Drosophila melanogaster: one gene and its partner. The protein of the gene in region 2 interacts with the protein of the main gene of each other region in a biochemical or structural test. Each region holds a gene or a part of one and is shown on either strand. Other genes may lie near its edges. The genes, in order: grp and Mcm5.

Evidence for each region.
Region 1: of the proteins of Mcm5 (region 2) and grp, one has a biochemical effect on the other in vitro, tested with the Drosophila melanogaster proteins (one study listed by BioGRID).

The regions. Positions count from the first base shown.
Region 1 is NT_033779.5:16,675,255-16,685,897, forward strand, and holds the start of grp (grapes), read left to right. Parts: upstream 1-4,799; 5' UTR 4,800-5,022; intron 5,023-5,195; exon of another isoform or gene 5,196-5,396; intron 5,397-5,451; exon of another isoform or gene 5,452-5,464; coding exon of another isoform or gene 5,465-6,190; exon of another isoform or gene 6,191-6,399; intron 6,400-6,564; exon of another isoform or gene 6,565-6,644; coding exon of another isoform or gene 6,645-7,112; exon of another isoform or gene 7,113-7,148; intron 7,149-7,248; exon of another isoform or gene 7,249-7,364; coding exon of another isoform or gene 7,365-7,838; exon of another isoform or gene 7,839-8,036; intron 8,037-8,355; exon of another isoform or gene 8,356-8,754; intron 8,755-9,243; 5' UTR 9,244-9,353; intron 9,354-10,135; exon of another isoform or gene 10,136-10,643. Other genes in the region: her (hermaphrodite), read left to right, coding at 2,129-2,995, 3,064-3,327, 3,389-3,721; squ (squash), read left to right, coding at 5,465-6,190; CG31807 (uncharacterized protein), read right to left, coding at 6,645-7,112; CG33552 (uncharacterized protein), read left to right, coding at 7,365-7,838. UniProt on the Drosophila melanogaster protein: Serine/threonine-protein kinase which is required for checkpoint-mediated cell cycle arrest and activation of DNA repair in response to the presence of DNA damage or unreplicated DNA.
Region 2 is NT_033777.3:10,784,742-10,795,254, reverse strand, and holds Mcm5 (minichromosome maintenance 5), read right to left. Parts: upstream 6,732-10,513; 5' UTR 6,591-6,731; coding exon 6,439-6,590; intron 6,385-6,438; coding exon 5,274-6,384; intron 5,216-5,273; coding exon 4,394-5,215; intron 4,331-4,393; coding exon 4,214-4,330; 3' UTR 4,105-4,213; downstream 1-4,104. Other genes in the region: CG14692 (uncharacterized protein), read left to right, coding at 1-905, 977-1,128; CG14687 (uncharacterized protein), read right to left, coding at 1,806-2,222; Art1 (arginine methyltransferase 1), read left to right, coding at 7,141-7,143, 7,207-7,482, 7,551-7,780, 7,868-8,489; Rbp1 (RNA-binding protein 1), read right to left, coding at 9,735-9,852, 10,332-10,513. UniProt on the Drosophila melanogaster protein: Acts as a component of the Mcm2-7 complex (Mcm complex) which is the putative replicative helicase essential for 'once per cell cycle' DNA replication initiation and elongation in eukaryotic cells.

The DNA of each region.
Region 1 (10,643 bases), on a different chromosome or scaffold from region 2:
ACAGTTATTATTTTAAAACGAAGTTCAATGGTTAATAAAATGGAGCAGAACTTAGAAGGAAGCCATTTCACACTTGGTTCATCATTTATTTTTTTTTATCCATAACCCTTTCAATGTAGTAATGTATCTGAGAATATTTCCCTGTGTACGGGGCACACCTTCACTCACCTTGAGTTGAGATTTCCTCTTGAGGGCGGCAATTGAACGAGTTTGCTGTCGTAGAACCTCCAGTGCAGCAACGAGGTCAGAGGTCGAAAATCAAAACGAAATTGAAAACTGATTCCGGCCAAGCCAATAGCTGAAATCATCCGAAAAAATAAAAATATTGATGCCACGTACTTTGAAACTCTCACGAAATCGGATTTCATTTTCGAAAAGTGTTATACTCTAGCAATATCTGGTGTATACATATAGTAGTGGCTTTTATTATAAAACTTGTCATAATTAAAATGAAATTTTATAAGTTTGTTCAAATATTTCTATATTTAAGTAATTGATTTTAAGTAATCACATTTTTGTCATTATATATCATAATTGCAAGAGCATCTAAATACGATTTCCCCGACACGTTTTGCTTTAATTGTTTACGTTTGCGGGAGGAACGGCGCGAAAAAGATGAAAAACATATCGTTTGAATTATAAACAATTTGCAGCGAAATTCGTTTTCAATATTTTCATTTAATTTTCATGATTGGTTTGTTTGGCGTTAATTGCACGTTTTTACTGACTAATGAGTGGGTGATAGGCTAGGCTAGCCGATTAGTTCATTTTCGAAATTTTCGAATATTTTGGAATAATTGCGGATCTGTATTTGGAGGTTTCTCTTTCACTTGGAATAACCTTGCGCAATTTGAAATTTGTAACATGTTGGGAGGGGCTTTTCACTGCATATTTCCGTTTCGTGCTCTGCAACCGGAAGTGCACACACACACACACACACACACTCATAGCCAAAACCACCACACCAACACACTCAAGTACTTTTTCATATATTTTTTTTCTACGGTTTGGTAACTTTTAAGAGGGTGTTTGACCCATAAATGAATTTATGCCAATTTAGAACGGCAAACACAGTTGTGGGCTTGGAAAAACTTCGGTTAGGGGGATTAAGCATTGGGCGGGGGCGTTGGCTAACCAATTAAAGCGAGTTTTTTTTTTGGGGGTTGTTTATTTATTTAGTATTCCCTGTTGCTTTTGCAGGGGCAGCATAACCGGATATATTTGTGCAATTATTTTAATGGCCTAGGCAATAACACAGAAACACACACAAACACACAAATGACTAGTGGCTAGCCCATTTTTTATTTGAAATTTACTTTCTTTGCTCGAGCTTTTCTTTTGCCTTTGGCCAAATAATTTTGGCTTTAATAATTAAAAGTATTTTGGGTTGCCCGCTGTTTTCCGAGTTTCTCGTGCGCCTTGGCCAGCAGTCGACTTGCAACTGAGCAAGTGAAAAAGTCGAAACAGCTGAAAAAGTGCAAGGACTCCCGATCCCAAAACCGATTCCTACAGACCAGACGAACTCTGAACCGAGTTTAAATGTCTGTGGGGGTATTTCTATTCAATGGTGGCCCCAAAAACTCAATGAAAACGGCAAGCCGGCTGCAGGCGATGCAGCGCGCATGTGTCCTGTAGTAAAACGGCGGCAAGGATAATGACCTCTTCGAGGTGCAGGTCGCTTCTGCATGGGCGAAAAAAACCGTTGGTGGAAGGTAAGAATTTCTTTTAGATTTTATATTCCCTTTTCTACTTGATGTTCTCAAATTTTTTTTTTTCCTTATTCCCAATTTGTTAAAACCTCACTTTACAGCAATTTTAAAAAGTCCGCGCAACATAACAGCGATTAGGAACACTGTCACTGTAATAATCTTTGCAGTACTTTTTTTGCGGTAGTTGTGAATTTCGTATCCCGTGACTTTTGTTGAATAATCGATATCAACGAACAGTAATCGATATGTGCTCTAAACAAACAAACATGTAATTAAAATTAATTAAAATACGGACAGTTTGTTTACCCCAAAACAGATAGTTTAGTGATCCACCGAAATGAGTGTGTTCCCAAGATATCCAAACACCAGGCTAGACCTGTAGCATTAATAATATTGTGGTCTTATTGTGGACTTTTGCAATGCTTAGTGCGGATCGGGATTCGGTGGAGGAAGAATATGGATCGTGCTCGGCCTGGAAATTCCGTTGCAGCGTGGACAGGTGCCCCTACAGGACGAACAGACCCTACAATCTGGCGCGTCATGAGGAGTCCCACATTGGTATTACGCAGTCCAAGCTATACGGATGCCCCGTTTGCGTTTACAACACCGACAAGGCGTCGAACCTGAAGCGGCACGTGTCTATCAAACATCCTGGGTGCAAAAAGCGCCCTCCGGAAGCGCAGCACAAGGATCGCAATGCCAAGTTGCAGTGCCTGGTGATGGGATGCAGATACGAGACAAATCGTCCATACGACCTCAAGCGCCACTTGATGGTGCACAACAATCCGGAGAAGAGCCACAGGACGTTTAAGTGCTCCCTTTGCACCTACAGCTCCGACCGAAAGGCCAATCTCAAGCGGCACCACGAGCTACGCCATTCGGGCATAGAGGAGGCCATTCAAACTGCGGAGGAACTGCGCCAGGAGATGCTGCTGGAGAAGCAAATGCTGAAGGAACATAAGCTAAAATATCAGATCACAGAGAAACAGGATTTGAAGAATCTAAAGTTGAAGGACCAAAAGCAGAAGGTGCAAATGCTGAGGGATCAGCAACCGAAACAAAGGCAAAAGAAAGAACAGTTGCTGGAGGACCAGAGTCCTGTGCTGAATAAGCAGCTGGAGCACGGAAATATTCCTTTAAAAGAAGCCCTGGTAGGCAGTATGAAATACGACGAGGAAAGTTTGGAATTTGTTTACGAGGAACTGCAGGAGGAGGAGCAGCCGCCCATCATCACCATTAGCAACCCGCAGATTCTCCATGGAGACATCCGGGATAAGCACGTCATCGTAAGCATTGCAAAATGTAGTTGTTAAATTCGCTCTTCAATCATTAACAACATTTACAATGTTTGCAGGCTGTCAACGTTGATGGCCAGTTGCGATGGTTCCAGTCAATAGATCCACCGCCGGGAGCTCCAACAAAATTGGAGCTGCCCATAAAGAGCACTTCAATTTCTGTCCAGCAGCAAATGGACGAATTAGACGATGAGTTGGCCATGTCCCTTGCCGAAGAAGATCAGCAGGATGAGTTTCTTGTGCCAATGCTGAGCGGAGAGGAACCAGTTAAAATAAAACAATCATCGCTGACCGATCTGGCTTGGAGTTGGAGTACGCCGGATGTAAGAAAGAACTATAAACGAAAAAAACGAACTTTTCCTAACAATGTTTTTATCACTAAAGGCTGTACATCACATAAGTCCCAAAGCGGAACTCAAGAAGGACCTTAAAGCTGGCGATGCAGATACAGATTTTCCAGATTGGTGGGATGATGGCAAGTACACAAAGATGCAAAAGAACCAAACATTTGCAAAGCACTCAAAGAAGCCGTCGCAGGAGAATGTGCAACGCATCCTGCGCATCATCTATGACATTTACTACAAACCCTTCAAGGAAGATCGCAAGCAGTTCGAGGCATTTCAAATTAAGGACTCCTGGCTGTGCGCGACTCGAATGACTCGCATGCAGATAATCAAGGACATGTACTCTAAACAGGGCACGTTAAGTCAAACTTGATGATAAAAAATGTATCATCCCTTTGGTATTTGTATAAGAATACCATTAAGTTGTTTACTATTTAAAGTGTAAAGTAAACGAATTAAGAAAATCCCAAGTACTTTAAAACTAGTTAATTAACCTTTAATTTAAGCCCAAAAACAAGTATAGGAGTAGTTTAAAAAAGAAAGAATACTATAGTCGAGATCCCCGACTATCATATAACCGTTACTCAGCTAGTGTGAATGCGAACGCGAAATTTAATCCTCTGGGATATTAATAAATATTGTATAATGTGAAAAAATTTAAAAAAAATTCAAACGTGTGGGCGTGACCGGTTTGGCGGCTTTAGGGCGTTGGAATGGGCGTGGCAAAAAGTTTTTTGGCAAATCGATAGAAATTTAAGCGACTAATAAAATTATGAAAAATATCCAACAATTTTTTTTTTAAATATGGGCGTGTCAGTTTTGTGCGGTTTGTGGGCGTCGCAACATGGGTTCCGCTGCGTCTTTATCTCTAGAATATGTATGCTAAATCTCAACCTTCTAGCTTTTAAAGTTTCTGATATCTCGTCGTTCATACGGACAGACGGACATGACTAGATCGACTCGGCTATTGATTCTGATCAAGAATATATACTTATATATAAATATATACACTTTATATAGTCGGAAACGCTTTCTTCTGCATGTTACATACTTTTCAACGAATCTAGTATACCCTTTTACTCTACGAGTAACGAGTATATTTTAGGAATTGTGTTATTCAATAAATTGTGTGTTGAAAATGTCTACACTACGATCGATTATTGAAGAAAAAATAAATTCAATGAAAATTAAAAACAATTAGTCAATAATTATATATTATTTTAAATATGACTATTTATAGTACCGGATAATAATCATATTTAAAAAAGTGTATTTAATATTAACAGCTAAATACTGTAATGATTTTAAGCTAAATACAAATAAAATCAGCTAAATACTGAAATCACAAATTTATGTGCCTTGTGATTTTCGACGATCGATACTTGGGATCCGAAACGGATAACCATCGATATCAGCGATTTACTGGAGAAATCGATAGCTTGCACTGTGCATCCAGTTTTGCTCCAGCCCTATCGCAAACTAAAGTATATTTTAGCAGCGTTTGCGGAATTTTTTGCATTTCAGTTACTCCAAGTGTGAATAAGAGCACGGTCGCTGTTATAGTGTCTTGCAAAGCAGTGAATTAAAAAAGTTTAATAATCCAAATCGAGAATCCCAAATTTGTGTAGACGTAGCAACAACAGTAAAACGCGCTGGCCGGAAAAGACGCTGCTGGTGAGTTGGAATAGTGGTGCATAAATTAGGAATGTATATATGCTGATTCGTGGGGCATTACCCTTTGTTTATTTAATGACTTGCTTGCTGCACCCCGCTCCCCCTTCCTTAACCTTTTGTTTAACTTTTTGGCGCAATATTATTCACCTTGACCACGCACCGGTGTGCAAAAGATTCACCGCACACCGGTGCACTTAAATTCACCACAGCCTTAATAATTCTTACGGCATTTCCGTGCTCAATGGTGAATGGTCGCACTGAAACTATTCTTTGAAAATAACGGAGTAAACATTCAGTCTCAGATTCTGAGAACTTGTTGACAGTGTAGCTGTTCAATTGTTTTCATGGCGAGTTCTCGGAGTATTTTTTGTTAGGTGAGTTTTAGGTTATGTCTGATGTCAGAAAATTAACAAATAAATTTCGCCTAAGACAACGCACGATCATGGCATGGGTTCCCAATTCGCAGTTCGAGGATGATCTGGTCGACATGGAGCCGGATTTCAATTTTGTCCATGGTCAACTGGCCTACGACATGAAGAAGCAAGGGGAGTTTTGGCCGCGACCGAAATGCACATATGAATATCTGAAGTCCCGGGAAAAGAGGAATTCCGAGCTCGAAAATATCCATGGAAGCAGAGGCGGAACTGGTCGTGATATTCGGCAAAGCCTTCAGCTAATGGAGAACATACAGAAGATAGCAGGCACAAGGCCGCTGGGCGAGCACGCCACTATGAAAGATTGGGAGGATGAAAGCACAAATGAGCTAGAGGCGTTAGCCATGATGCGTCACTTCGGAATGATGTCCATGGCAACAGATTCGCTGCCCGTTCTGCCCGAAGTAAAACCACCAGAAGGACCCATTAAAATTATAAGAAACGGACGGAAACAATTTCCCCTCATCACAGACCCCGAATTTTTTAAACCACGCAAGATTCCCCGAACGAAGAATTCCAGTTCCAGTAGTTCGTATCATACTGCCAATAGTTCAATCAGTTCCTTCAGCCTTTATGAATCTGCCGCTTCAGATTTGGACAGCAGCAAGAAGCAGGGCGAGATCAAGGCGTCAAAGTCGGAGAAATACCTCGAAGTACCTTACAAACAGCTTGCGGAGAGTTACGACCAGGAAGTGGAATCACCAGTCCAATTTGGAAACCAATTCAATGAATGAAGGAGGAACCAACGGGGAATGCAATTATTAGAACCAAAAAATCAATCACTTTTTATATATAAGCTTCTGTAACATGTAAATAAACGGCTTAAACGTCGTTTAGAAAACCGAATTTATATTGGATGCAGTTCTACAAATAGAAAGAAAAATACTTGATATCATAGGGTAAACAAAATATTTATCTATTTTAATAAATTAAATGCGAAAGGAATGTTAGTGCTGTAGAATTCAATATATCCTTAAATGAATTTTTTTATATTAATTTATTGTTGCAAATGCATGTTTCCCAAACCATTTGGTAATTATTCAATTGTATCCCCTCCTAAATATGAAAAAATTGGAATATAGTCGGAAATATAATCGAGGTATTAAAATTTATGTTTATCGATTAAATCGATCGCGCTTATCAACGCACTATATTATAGCTAGAACATCGTATTTATAGAAAATAATTTTATGGCGTGTTTAATAACACACGCCAGACGTCTCTTTCAATAGCTACTTTGCGGCATATTGGGCACATATCGGCATGCTGCAAGTGGGTCCGGATGCACATCTCCCCAAAAAGGTGACCACATCTAAGCGAAACCAAGCGGTGATGATCCTTCGCTTCCCAAGGATCCAGGCATATGCAGCAAGTATTTTCGATGGCAATCTTCTCAAGCTGCTGTGTTAATTCGTCCTTGGACTCGAACAACAACTGCTCTTGCAATAATTTCTGATTGGTTATCTCTTCTTCCATTTGGTAATATAGCTTGAGTTCCTCCTCGCGCATTTTATCCTTCTCTTGAGTTGTAATATTTAGCTTCGCCAGTTGCTTGTCCTTTTGCTCACTTTTTTTCCTTTCCGCTAAGAGCTGCTCAACAACATCCTTCTTCAGCATCCTCATCAACGAGCGAGTCTGGGCTTTGTTATTGGGCATATTGTAAAGAAATTAAAATTACAAGGTGAACGAATTTTTTAGACAAGCACTTTTAGAACGAATGTCTTCTCAGTGAAGGTTTAAGCGTGGACTGCCTAGATTGAACAAAATTATTTTTTCTTGTAATCATTAGAATTAGTTGTGTGTTGCATTTTCCAACACAGCCAACATATTTACAGCTGTCAAAAAAAAAATCCATTTCAAAATAAAACTCGACTGTAATATTTGCGAATCGTTCACATCGAAAACGAGATGGATAAACAAGATATTACAAAGATGACCAAGAAAAAACTCATCGTTGAGGTCATTAAGCAGCGAAAACGGAACAAAGAAAAGGACGAAATCATCAAGGATAGTTTCGAGTCCAAAAAGCGTTTAATTGATCTGCGACTGCAACTGGACAAGGAGAAGAACATAACGAAGGAGTTGCGACTGAGGCTAGCGGCGCAGGACGCGATTGCGAATCAAGCGGAGAACCTGTCTATGAAACGAAAGAAGATCGCCGAAGAGAACAAGTGCTACATTTGCAAATGGAATTATGAGGTTACCGGAGACCATCGCCCAGTTTCAATTAAATGCGGTCACCTTTTTGGAGCGAATTGCATACTACATTACTTGCAGCGTAACAAGACATGCCCCATCTGCAAATCACAGATGATCCGCTGTATGGATGTTCGCATTATTATAGCAGGTCAAAATTTGTGCACGGCTGAATTATTACAGTAAACATTACATTTGCTGGGAAGTTGGACAAAATAAAAACCCAAGCAAAAGAAACAAGAGAAATTAATATTTTCTTGTATGTTTGTGATAATTAAACCACCACAATCATTTTCTCAATTTTTATTCAATTTCCCTTATTCAATCAATAGATGATTTGAACATTTGGCAAGCGTATATCGCAAGTGGAGTGAGACCCCCCGTAATTCCTTAATCAATAAACCACACTCCACTATATGCATACATAAATAATTTGTTATTGTTTTTGTGTGCGGGAACTATTATTATCAATTAAGCAATAATCTGTCGCAGAGTTTGCCAAATAACATTGAGAAAGTGGCTCACGTAATAAAGTAGAGGGAATTTGAAAAGTAGTGTAGTAGTAGTAGTAAAAGAATCAAGTTAAATAATAACGTTAATGTAGGTACATATGTATTGCTTAAAAATATAAATATTTTAGTGCATTTACTAATGTAGAGCAAGGTCCTTATCTGACTAATTGAATCAGGCTACAGTAACTTACTGGCTAAATTAGCAAACTTGTGCTGAGTTTTGGCGGTGCGAGTTGTCTGTCTCCTTTTTGTGGTGGCTGCTTCTCTCCCGTTTATTTTCGCGTGCATCTTCTCTTCCCGCCCGAGAAAAGTGTGAACTCACGAACACACGCAGCCAAAAGTTTTTAGTTCCGTGGCAACCACGTGCGTCTTTTGTTTCCTTTTTTCTTCTCTTGCGATTTTCCTTACTTCGCTCCCTTTTCTTCTATTCGCCGGGGTTGTCAAGCAGAAGTTTTGTTGTTATAAGTGGTGAAATGGATGCTGAAGTTGTTGTGTTTTATGCATAGGCCTGATGCTATTGTACGCAGTTGTACATCAATATCCAAACAAACCTACATACATACATACGTACATAAATAAATATGGATGTTGTCAGCGAAAAGTAGTCAAACCAAAGGATGGTGGTGAAAACTGTAGATGATGTGGGGGGGGGGGGTCTCTCTATATGTACATATGTATGGTTGTATGTTAACAAGTCTGGAGTCGCGGTCTTATTCGATGAGTGAAAGACGAAGCAAAATCAAAAATAAAGAAGCAATTCGACAAATGGCGCAAGCTATTAAAATAAATATGTACAATGTGCAAGCACTTTTTTTCGGGTGGACCCAAATTTTCACTTCGAAATATCCGTTAAAGTGTACCAAACTGAAATCTTTTTTTGTATTAATTGTTAGATTGCTGCATTTAAACCAAAAGCATTAAAAATATGAAAACATTTTTGGTTGGTTCTATTTGATTTCTCTTGACGCGCATTCTTATCAAAGCTTTAACTTTGTTTATACTTTAAGCGCATTCAAGTGTCTTTAATTTGTATACCTACCCCTAATCCAATTTCAATGTTTCAAATTTCGCTATATTAGGTAGTGATTCCCAATCAGCTTTGTTTACAAGGTCCACTCCAATTCCTACGCACTCGAGTTGTGGCGAGAGTTTTTTATGCGACATCAACTGAAGCTGGAGCTGCCGAAAGGTAAGCAGCGCACAGGGCAACTTAAAACGTTTACCAAAAAAAAATTCCTAATTTGTTGTTTAAAATATAAAATTATTAGGATTGGAAAAGGTTGATATCTTTTATTTGTGTATAATTTTTCAATTAAAAATAAAATCTCAAATTTACTGTACCGATACCACTGTGCAATGGTTGATGGAAGAGTGGAGTAAAGAAAAAGGAGCAACAGCCCTCGCCGGTAGCCGGCTTTCAGCCTCTGCTGCCACGAACAGAGCTCCCGTTCGGGCACTGTGGGGTTAGAAAAGTTTTAAGTTACATTATTTCGCTATTATTTTAATATGGGTATTAGTATTTGTAAAGATTTAAAAAAGAAAAGTTGAGAACTATTATGATATTCCATCCTGAATTCGATAAAAAAATAGTTAGAAAAACTATGATAGGGAGATATGTATATTAATACGTTTTTTGTCAAGGACTGAAATCCTTTTACTAAACGTATAATTGTACAAATTATACGTTTATGTCAATATAATTCGATCATGTATAGATGATTATTAAATAATAATAATGGAATAGTTAAACAATGGTCCGTCCCACTGTGCACTGCTGAACTTGAGCGAGAGAGCAAGTTGAACTTGCCAAATGCTGTGCGGAAGAGGAAGAGCGAGAGGATTTCTCCAACCCCTTCCCGCCTATCGTTTTTGGCGCGCGCAAGCGTAAGCTCTCCCTGCTCTCGCGGCCTCTCCGACGCTCTCTGGAAGTTTCGAGTTTCTTTCGAGGCTTTCTCGGTTCGGCGAACCTAGGCGGCAGTTTGATTTCAACTCTCAGACAGGACGAAGCGCCTGCCACAGGATATGGCTGGGAAACTATAGTGGAAACCTACGCCGCTATGTAATAGTAAATTAATAGTAGTTCTCTACTACTGCAGTAGTAGGCGGCGCTTTTCAATCGTATTGAAAGGAATACAATGACGGGGGCAAGAGAGAAACGAACGGAGAAAGAGTGCACGGACCACGAGGCTGTTTCATTAAAATTGGGATACAGACAAAACGTGGCTCGCAGGATACCGGATACGTCTGTGTGCGTGTGTGTGCCGCATCCATTCAGGAGGCTAAGAAAAAGGACGGCACACAGTTTTCAGTGGTGACTTTCTCGGCAAAATCCTAAAAAAGGACAAAACGGTTCGGTTCCTATTTGGTTTCTCGACTTTCGGTCTTCGGGGTAGTTCCTTAGTCTCTCAGAATAGCAAGATGATAAACCTGAAAAAGAAGAAGAAGCCGTCCAAGAAGCAGCTTCGCAAAAATTCCGCGC
Region 2 (10,513 bases):
AGATCCCAGTTTCGATGAGCCCGTGATCCGGCCAATTAGTTCTCTGCAGGAGCAATCCAGCCTGGACATCGAGGATGGAGATATCATCGTATACAACCGGCTGCAGAGGGATGAAACTAGAGAGAGCTCTGCTCAAAGCGATTCCGTGGTCTTTGGTGATGCAGTATCCGAAAATAACCAAGAGAAGGAGTTGCTCAATGAGGAGGAGTCCGGAAGGGTGCATTTGATGAGACACTACACCATCGCAGGAGATGATCCGCGAGGACTATTCAGATCTGTGACCATCGATGATGCTCTGAGTTATATGGAAAACGGAGCTAATGGTATGGGTGCGAGTAGTTTTTGTTTGGACGACGAGACTTCGGAGAACATTCGAAAAAAGATGATGGCCTACTCGTTGTCTGAAACGGATTCCGATTACTTTGATCCGAAAAAGGTCAGCAGCGAGGACTTTGACGTAGACACGGCCATGGCGGATGCCATGGGGACATCCACTGAAACGGAATCCACAATTGTTTCGGCGGCCACGAAGATCCAGGCCGGAGCTCGTGGCTTCCTTACCAGGCGAAGATTGCGGCGGGCCAGTGCTGGCACCAAGTCATCCACTTTGGACACCAAGGCATCCTTTGGCAACGATGCGATCAGTGAGTCCTTGGAACGATTCATCGAGGAGGAGGCCGCCAAGAAGATACAAACCGCATATCGGATGCACACACGAAAGCGAAAGGGTCATAGCCGGAAAATGGAAGGCATCAGCTTGGAGAGCAATCTGGCCGCCAGGCGCCAGAAGTTGCAGCGCGGGGATGCACTTCGTAATGATTCCACTCCGGATGATGAAAACAGTTTGCTAGTCAGTGGGGTCAAAGCACACAAAAATGCAAAAACCCAGAGAAGCAAGACCGTTGGTAAGTAATCATTTCCAAATTGTTTAAGTTAGTAAACAAGTTTTAATATTTAAATTAACTTAATTATCCAGGCGAGGCGAAGTCCAGCGCTGACATGGAATTGAGGTGGCTGAAAATGAGGCAGAATTCCATGCCAGTGCAAATCGATTGCGAAGTTTTCAGAGTAATCCCCAAACATATGCGAAAACGCATCAAAAGCGCCGAGGCGAACAAAAGAAAATAAATTATACGACGTATAAGTATAAACGCTGAATTATATCTAAATAAAATATATGTATTAATCTGAAATGTTATTGTTATCAAACAAGCGGAAAGATTTCCGGGAGTAAATCATAACATTTAATTTTCCTCAATTTAAACATATTCAACTACGGATGAGCGGATGGCTGCCAGTTTGGCTCTAAACTTTAAACGCACTTGACAGATTTATGGGCTGGGTGTGCACCTTGGGTCGATGCACTGAATCCCAAAGAATACATTCGCTAGCCAGCTATTAAATAGGTTCTATTAAAAAAAAATAAGACACGCCTCTAACTTTGTGCTCCCTAAAAACCATTCTTTGCAACTATCGTATTGTGTTTTCCGTTTCGTCAGTTTCCATCAAGTGCTACGTGTTCGATGAACAAAATGTTTATTCACTGTATTCATACCATATACATACAGCACGGTATACCAAAAATAGGCCTAGAGAAAACACAAACAATTTGGATCTCGTTAATGGATAGTGGTGTCTTTCAAGATTGCGGTTTCTTGAGTAAGAGTATTTTATTCATCTGGAAGCTATCAGTTAATATTAATCTATTTACACGACACGTATTGAACTAAGCGGTAGGATTTGAATACAAATATTTGTATGTACAGTAGAAATCAGAGTTGTGGAACGACCAGCGCGCAAAGTCATTACACAATGGGCTCGCATTGTTTCAATTCTTTGCGTGTTTTGAATCCCCGGAAGCCAGCCTGAATTTTAACAGCGGCATCGGTGGCGATTTTCTGCTTCTTTCGCACCAGGAATCCCCGGAATCCCGCCTGTATCTTGGTGGCACTACGATCCTCCACGGATTTACCACCATTCTCGGTGGCCGTATGCTGATCCTCGCCGCTGGGACGGGGATTTCCCGTATTGTTCTGGTTTTCCATGAGGCCGTTGTTCTTTGGACGCTGTCGCTGATTCCGCCTGGGATGGGGATTCTTGCTGGATCGATGGATCTCTTTGCGCACACGGTAGCCACGAAATCCGGCCTGAATCTTAATGGCCGCACTCTCTTCGGACTGCAAGGACGATGCTGATTCCGGTGAGCTGGGGTAAATGTACATGATCCTCTGGTGCACTGCAACAAAAATGGCAATCTGAGTCCGCGTTTCTATCCAACAAATACGGCTTTCATCGGTTGTAGCTCTCTGTTCCGGACGAACTCGCTCGCTCGAGATCTAAAATTGTACTGGCGTACGGCGGACGTAGGCTTGGCATATGTACGGCGAGAATTTTCATTTTCATTCACAAAACAAAGGCCCCACTCAGCGATTTTCCTCTCGCACCTCCCTACATATAGCTTACATGGGCCTTTTGTATATACACCTCTGGCCCGGCGGACCAGAATCCCATCCGTTTGCTCTCCCGCGAGAATGGGAAGGAATCCACGGATGCTGATGACGTTCAAGAATTTCTGTTTCACAAAGTATACAAACGTGTTGGAAACAATTATCTAATTTCGCCAGCGCCCCCAATTGTGTGCAGTCTAATTAACAGACATATAATAATTGTGATCGGTTGCGTAATATATCCAGTATATATCTCAAATATCAATATATACTATTAGGGCTTAGCTCGTGTTGACAATAATCCATCACGCAGGAATCACTATTTTTGACAATTTTTTTACGATGTCTAGGGACCTACGTAGCGGGTGATGGACAAAAAAAAAAAACCGAGTAAATTGGTTTAGGTGAAAAGCGAACTTATACACATGGTACACATGGATCCATAGCTACATTTCCATGTGCAATGAAAAGAACATCGGTGCAACGCTTTGTTAATGGAAACGATGAACTGACACAGGCAGAGGTAATTGAAAAAATACATACACTCGTGTGTGCATCAATATCGGAATATGAATTTCAATTAATCTCTTATTGTTTGATGTTTGAATTATCTTGACCCTGGGTTCGGATGCAAAGTTCAAAGTACCACTATGTTATTAAATTGAGAAAACATCATACATACATGTACTATGTGTTTAAATGTGTAGCTGACTTAAATGGAAATTATCGTCACAAATAAATTATATCTATTTTCATAGCCTGGGTGTTCTTTTTTTTATTGATATTGGGCCCATGATCTTCTGGAATTTTTCTAAAACGTCTAGAGAAACATGTTTCTAATTCGCCCTCAATAAATTTTAGACCAACTTGACGTCATTCGGACCTTAAAACGCAGCAAAGTGGCGTCAGTTGGGAAAAATGTACGAGAAATAAATATTATTGTTAGGACTTTTTAAATAATACAGTCATTCCGCAAATGTTCCGTGATAAACAAGATTGTAAAGATTTCCTTCCGGAAATTCATAAATTTGGAATGCCTACATATACATATACATATATATACATTTGCCATTGTTTTTAAATGGCCAAAAGCGAGCATACGTAACACGCTTACGTATTTTTGAAAATTCGTGCACATTTTGAGTACATTTCAGTTTTCAAATGTATGTAAGTACATAGATGTGCATGCGCAAATATACTAATTGAGTTTTGTATAAAAGGAAGTAATAAACGTTCTCAAACAGAGGAAAAAATATTTTTAAGAAATTGGCAAGTGGCCAAGGCAATATGATTGGTTTTTGTGATTTGTCCGAATGACGTAGGCAAACACAGTCGAATGTAGAGCGAAATTGTCGGTTTGCGCGAAAATTTGGAGGCCGACCAAAGGGTCTATGTGTTTCGACCAAGCATTATCAACAAACAGAATTTAGACATTGCTTATAATCTCATTTTTTAAATGTAAACAATCATAAATATTTACCAAACATATAGTCTGCCGGCTCGACTGACTTATGCACTTGAAATACCTAGGATTTCCCACTACAAGTATCAGAGTATCTATTCTGTAAACTTCTAGCTATTAAATACATCACTGAATTATTGTTCAAATATTTAACAGAATTTGAATAAATAAAATAATGATTCAATTTGGTTTATTGGGAAAGAATGTAGTTTATCTTAATACTATAAATGGAAATACAAATAATGTGACGAAATGATTGAAGACATATTCAACGATGGACAAGAAATGAAGTGATTAACAGTGTTTAGCAAATTCGATAGAGCATCTTCCGTTGCATCCGGTGCTGCAGCTCTCCACGTCGGATCATGGTATGAATTACCTTCATTACCGTGCGTTCTTCGTATTTCTGACGCAAAAAGTCCTATGAAAAGCAAGCATTATAAATAAAAATTGTTCATTCGATTCATAAGACTTCTGTGCTTACCTGTAAGATATTCTGCTCCGATACTTGAGATCCAATTGCAAAGCGACGTTTCAATTGCTTTTCGATGCGGTTGAGTGTTTCCTGGTCCTCCTCGGTCGTGAATCCTTCGGCTCCAGCCAAGCTGCCAGTCATCGCAGCATCAAGGGTAGACACTTGGAAAAGTCGAAGTGCTTCGTTCACGTGCTCATCTGTGGCGAACGGTTGCAAACGAATCTTTGCCAGCGACTCCGAAATGCGGATGACAGCCTCCAACTGACGCACAGTGATGGGAATGCTTAGCCGCTTGTCAGATGCCTTCTCCTGCTGGCCGGCTCCACTGCGCATAAGCACGTAGCGGCTCTTTAGCTTCTCGCCGGCAGCTTCGCTCAGGCGCGGACCGCAATGAGTTCGGCAGTAGTGAATATACTTCTTGAACGTCGACAGCGATATCTCACCCTCAGCCGGCTCTGAAGGCGCTGACTTGTTAGAGCTCAGATGCACGTTGATGATGTGCTTGGCCAGCGTAATGTCCCGCGACTCATCGTGAATATCCTTTACAATGAAAATCATGTCGAAACGGGAGAGAATTGTGGGCATAAAGTCAATGTTCTCCTCGCCCTTGGTGTCGTCCCATCGACCGAAAATGGAGTTGGCAGCTGCCAAGACCGAACAGCGTGAGTTCAAGGTGGTCGTGATGCCGGCTTTGGCAATGGATATTGTCTGCTGTTCCATGGCCTCGTGAATGGCCACACGATCATCCTCTCGCATTTTGTCGAACTCATCAATACAAACCACGCCTCCATCGGCCAGCACCATGGCTCCACCCTCCATGACAAAGTTACGCTAAAGATTAATGTATCATTTAATTTGTAAGGATTAGGTGTGCAATGTTTTTTCTCACCGTTTGAGGATCCTTCATAACCGAAGCCGTGAGACCAGCCGCACTGGAGCCTTTGCCCGAAGTGTAGACTGCTATGGGTGCCACCTTCTCCACAAACTTTAACAACTGTGACTTGGCAGTACCAGGATCTCCCAGCAGTAAGACGTTAATGTCGCCTCGACGGCACAGACCATCCGGTAAACGCTTACGAGACCCGCCAAAAAGCATACAAGTTATAGCTTTCTTGATATCCCGAGAGCCGAAGATGCTGGGCGCCAGTGACTGTGAGAGACGTTCGTAGATGTCCCCAGAGGCGGCCATTCGCCGGAAGTGCTCCTCCTCATCGGATGTGATGTTGCTGTATCGGGAGATGGCACCCGCACCCTCTGAGTCGACGGTGATGCCCACCACCCTCATGTAAGGAGCACGGACTCCAACGACGGCTTTCTCGCGACCATCCCGACGCGAGGGTTTGCCCACCTTGCGAATGGAGTATATGCCCTGGATAAGCACGCGATTGCCGGGCACCACGCGTTCACAGAGCGAGCGATCGCAGAAGAGCTGCAAGTGGCGGGGAATCTCACCCTGTGGCACAAAGTCGGGGAGCTCTTGCAACTTAAGGGTCTGGAAATCGACGCACTTGCACTTGTCCGGCATGATGAAGAAGGGGTCCAGCGGGCACTTGGGTCTGCCCGCCTGCTCCGTGTTGCACTTCCTGGGTAGGGCGTAGCCCTCCAAACCTGGATTCACTTTGAGATTCGGTATGACCGTGCTGCAGGACAGGCATTGGATAGACATCCGCGTAGCCTTGGCACTTATTCCTGAGGCTGCGACAATGATTCCGGCGATCTTAACCAGCTTGGATACGCAGTCCGACTTCAACTGTCGTATGTTGGTGGGATTCGCATTGGAGCTCAGAAGAATCTGGATGTCGTGCATATGTTCCTCGTGCTCCGGCCGGGGAGCTGTGATCTCGTCGGCTACCTCCCGGGCAGCCTCCTCGAAGATTTCCAAATGCTCCGTCGGCTGCTTGTTCAGCTTGTCAGCCAAGGTCTCATCGAAGCCCACCAAATCCTCCATCTCAATCTCCAAGAAGTAGCGACCATTAAGATAGTTCCTCTTCAGGGTGTCACTGCAGGGGGATTACCTTAAATGGGGTTCAGATGAGGAGATGCAGTTCACTTACCGGTATTTGTAGAAAAAGTTCTCCTCGTTAAATGTCCGGATGAACTCCTTGTACTTCTTCTTTACCGCCTGCAAGTTGATTTGCGCATCCTGCTGGTTATCTCCGCCGAAATTGTCCGAAAAGAACACACCCGCATCGTCGAAGCCTTCCATTTTGATAGGGTAAACAAAGTTAAAAAGAAGAACTGAGGTAATAGACGCTACTTCTGCTTCGCTTTATATTTCGTTTTTTAGTAAATGCGATGTGCGAATATTTTGCCGCCAAAATTACCGGGCAAGCGGTAGCTAGAGATGAGCACTTACCAGTAAAACTATCGGATCTTATTTACAACTATCGATGAAACGTGTTTCCCAGTTTATGTATTTTTGTTAGCAGTGAAATAGGACCAATACAACAAGCATTGCAGCAGTTAATAAACCATGAACGTATTTATTATATCTTATTGATGTTATGACAAAGATTATTTTACTCGATTATATGGAACATGCCTTAGACAACTGACTCCAATTCTTCCCAGCTCAAAAATACTAAAATTTCAGAAAAATCCAATAATATCGAGCTGGCGATATTTGTTTCCAGCTTTTGTGCGGGGGCAGTGTTGATAAGCGACCTTTTAAACTAGCGTGCTGTAGAAACAGTCCCATCATTTAGTCGCCAATTTTTCGACGTGAAAAACCAAAGAGACGCCGAAGAAATTAGAAAATGGTAAGTTTTGGTCAAAATGTGACGGCAATCGACAGGCCAGTAGCTGACGAACCCGATTCGCAGGCCAGCACAGACATTCCCATGGAGGCAGCTGTGGAATCGGCGACCGGCATCACGCCCAATTCAAATGCGAACTCAAACAATGTGGCGAAGAAGCTGCCCGCGGAGGGCTCCACCGGTGATAATCCCAATGCCAACGCCGACGAGATGACGTCCCGCGACTATTACTTTGACTCCTATGCCCATTTCGGGATCCACGAGGAGATGCTCAAGGACGAAGTGCGCACCGTCACATACCGCAACGCCATGTACCACAACAAGCATCTGTTTCAGGGCAAGGTAGGGTTAACTTCCGGGGTTTCCCCATTTTTCGTAGCCCTTCTCACCGGGGTATCTCCTCTTTGCAGACCGTACTGGACGTGGGTTGCGGTACCGGCATTCTCTCCATGTTCGCTGCCAAAGCCGGTGCTGCTCAGGTGATTGCCGTCGACTGCTCCAACATCATTGAGTTTGCCCGCCAAGTGGTCATTGACAACAATCTGCAGGATGTAATCACGGTTGTCAAGGGCAAGATTGAGGAGATTGAGCTTCCAAATGGTATTGAGGGAGTGGACATTATTATTTCCGAGTGGATGGGGTAGGTTTTCATTTGTAGTTAAGCTTTTAAAAAGTGGTCATATTTGATTTAGCATATTAACCATTTTAATTTCTTTCCTTAATTTAGTTACTGCCTGTTCTACGAATCCATGCTGGATACAGTGTTGTACGCTCGGGACAAGTGGCTGAAGAAGGACGGCATGATGTTCCCAGATAGGGGCACGCTGTATATCACGGCCATCGAGGACAGACAGTACAAGGACGAGAAGATCAACTGGTGGGACGATGTCTACGGCTTCGACATGAGCTGCATTCGTAAGGTGGCCGTGACCGAGCCACTGGTCGACGTGGTCGATCCCAAGCAAGTGGTATCCACATCTTGCATGGTCAAGGAGGTGGATCTGTATACCGTGCAAAAGGCCGATCTTAACTTCTCGTCCAAGTTCAGCCTATGCATCAAGCGCAACGACTTCGTGCAGGCATTAGTCACCTACTTTAATATAGAGTTCACCAAGTGCCACAAGCGTCTTGGGTTCAGTACGTCACCAGACTCCACATACACGCATTGGAAGCAAACCGTGTTCTACCTCGATGACCACATGACGGCAAAGAAGAACGAGGAGATCACTGGCACGTTCCAGATGAAGCCCAACGAGCGGAACAACCGTGACCTGGACTTCGTCATCGACATTAATTTCAAGGGCGAATTGTCTCAAATTCAGGAGTCGAACACATACCGCATGCGCTAGGGGCAGCCATAACCAATCCGATCTGCCATTTGGGATGGGGCTCAGAGCCCTGCAGCGAGGATACATACAATGACTAGACGTAAGGTTTATTCCAGTGCGAAATGTGCAACGAATTCGTGTTGCGTCTTCTCCTAAGTTTAAAGTGTACCTTTGTTAGTATACATAATATTTTACACTCGTGCGCCTGTTTAAATTATTATTCGAACATACTTCTAAGCAAGTTGTACAGCAGCACGTCAATTCTCACATAATAAACAGTGCACTAAGCACGTCCCCTTTTGCTGGAAACAAACTGTTTTTGATGATATATGAAACCAATCAAAACTCGCTGATTGTGCGTCTTTATTTTTTAGTAAAAAAAAAAAAGGAATTTCAAGAATGCATCGAAAGATTTATATTGTCATCTGAAGTAAATTTACTTGGATCGCAATCGACATAGGAATTCCTACAGAAAATACGGCCTTGGCCGGCTTGTTCTTTGATGCGACACTGCTTAAACGATATCCTTTTGGAAACATTAATGACGATCCCGAGAATCCGAGCGACTTCGACGATCGCGCGAGAAGCTGCGGCTGCGGGGCGATCGGGAGCGACGTGGCGAACGTGACCTGAAATAAACGCATTGGTAAAGAAGAAATGATTACTTAAAAGCTTAATAAAATTATTTAAATCAGCTTAGAATGGTAAGAAGTGTATGTACATACGCGCCTTACAAAGAGCTGCAAAATAGGAGTGTTAAATACTGCTAAATAGTTACTTAAACTAATTACCAGGGGGAACAAAAATGAAAGCTGTGCAAACTGTTTTGTTTCTATGAATTAAGCTGTGAACCAATTAAGATAAGAGTATTATTGCTAATGCTGCTATTACATTTAGCTGCTGCAATTACATTTACTATCTATTACCAACTGATATCCTATAATTAGAGTTTAAAGCTTTCTACTTTGTCGGATACATATGCAATAAGAAAATGGTCGAACAAATCTATAGTAGCTGTGATCATCAGCGTTAAACGCGTTCAAGGCCAGTTTTCTCGACATCAGAGTCAAGTACTTGAGAAAGCGGACGAACCCTCATATCATAGGCAACTAAATTAAAGAAATAATTGTAAGCAATTATTTGAAGGATACGCAGGATAACTTTAAAAAAGAACTCTTTGGGCGACTGCATTGCTTCTTCTAGGATGAAATCATTTGGGTTGCTAATCAAAACTTCTGTGAGGCTGTGACGCTGAACATGGTTAATTTAGAGTTGCAAGTTGAAGGTTGCTGGCTGTGGCTGTGAAGATGGTTGCTGTTGTAGATTGTTGATGTTGTAGAAGGAAGAAGTAGCAGTGGAAGTAGTTCTAGCCGAAGGAGTTATCCTGAAAAAGTGTCGATAACTCGAATTTAACAACCACTAAATGATTGGATCGTAGATAATATATGTATACAGTTTGTAAGTTTGGTCTAAATAAAGTACCAAGTCAATTTTTAATTAGAAATGTTATGAATAGCGATGTGATGTCAGTTGGACATGAATAAAACAGCCTGCGAAGAAGTACTCATAAAACTGACATTTCGAAGGCTGTTCTATCACGTGCAGAAAAAGGCGGGAAAATGTACATGTTTGCTATTCGCAATTAATGTTTTTTGCGACGATTCCAATGAAATTTCGATAACAAATTTTATACGTTTTGATAAGGATTGATTAATTTTGACGGTTACAGGCAAGACCGCCATCATATGCTTAGAAACCTGAAGAAAGTACCCAATTTTTGGAGTCAAGTGATCCATTGTTCCATTTGGGAGACACATTGAGCCAAGTAACATGAGAAGTACAGTTTTTTTGTCGTGGAATTACCTGTAGCGTCCGGAACCAGAGCGACCACTACTGCCGCCTTCTCCGCGCCGGCGATCGCGCGAGCGACCCGAAGACATCTCTACGCGAATCCTAGTGCCGCAGCAGCGTGTTCCGTCCAGGGCACGCGTTGCGTCTTCCGCGTCACGGCGATCCTCAAATTCGACAAAGGCGAAACCTGGTGG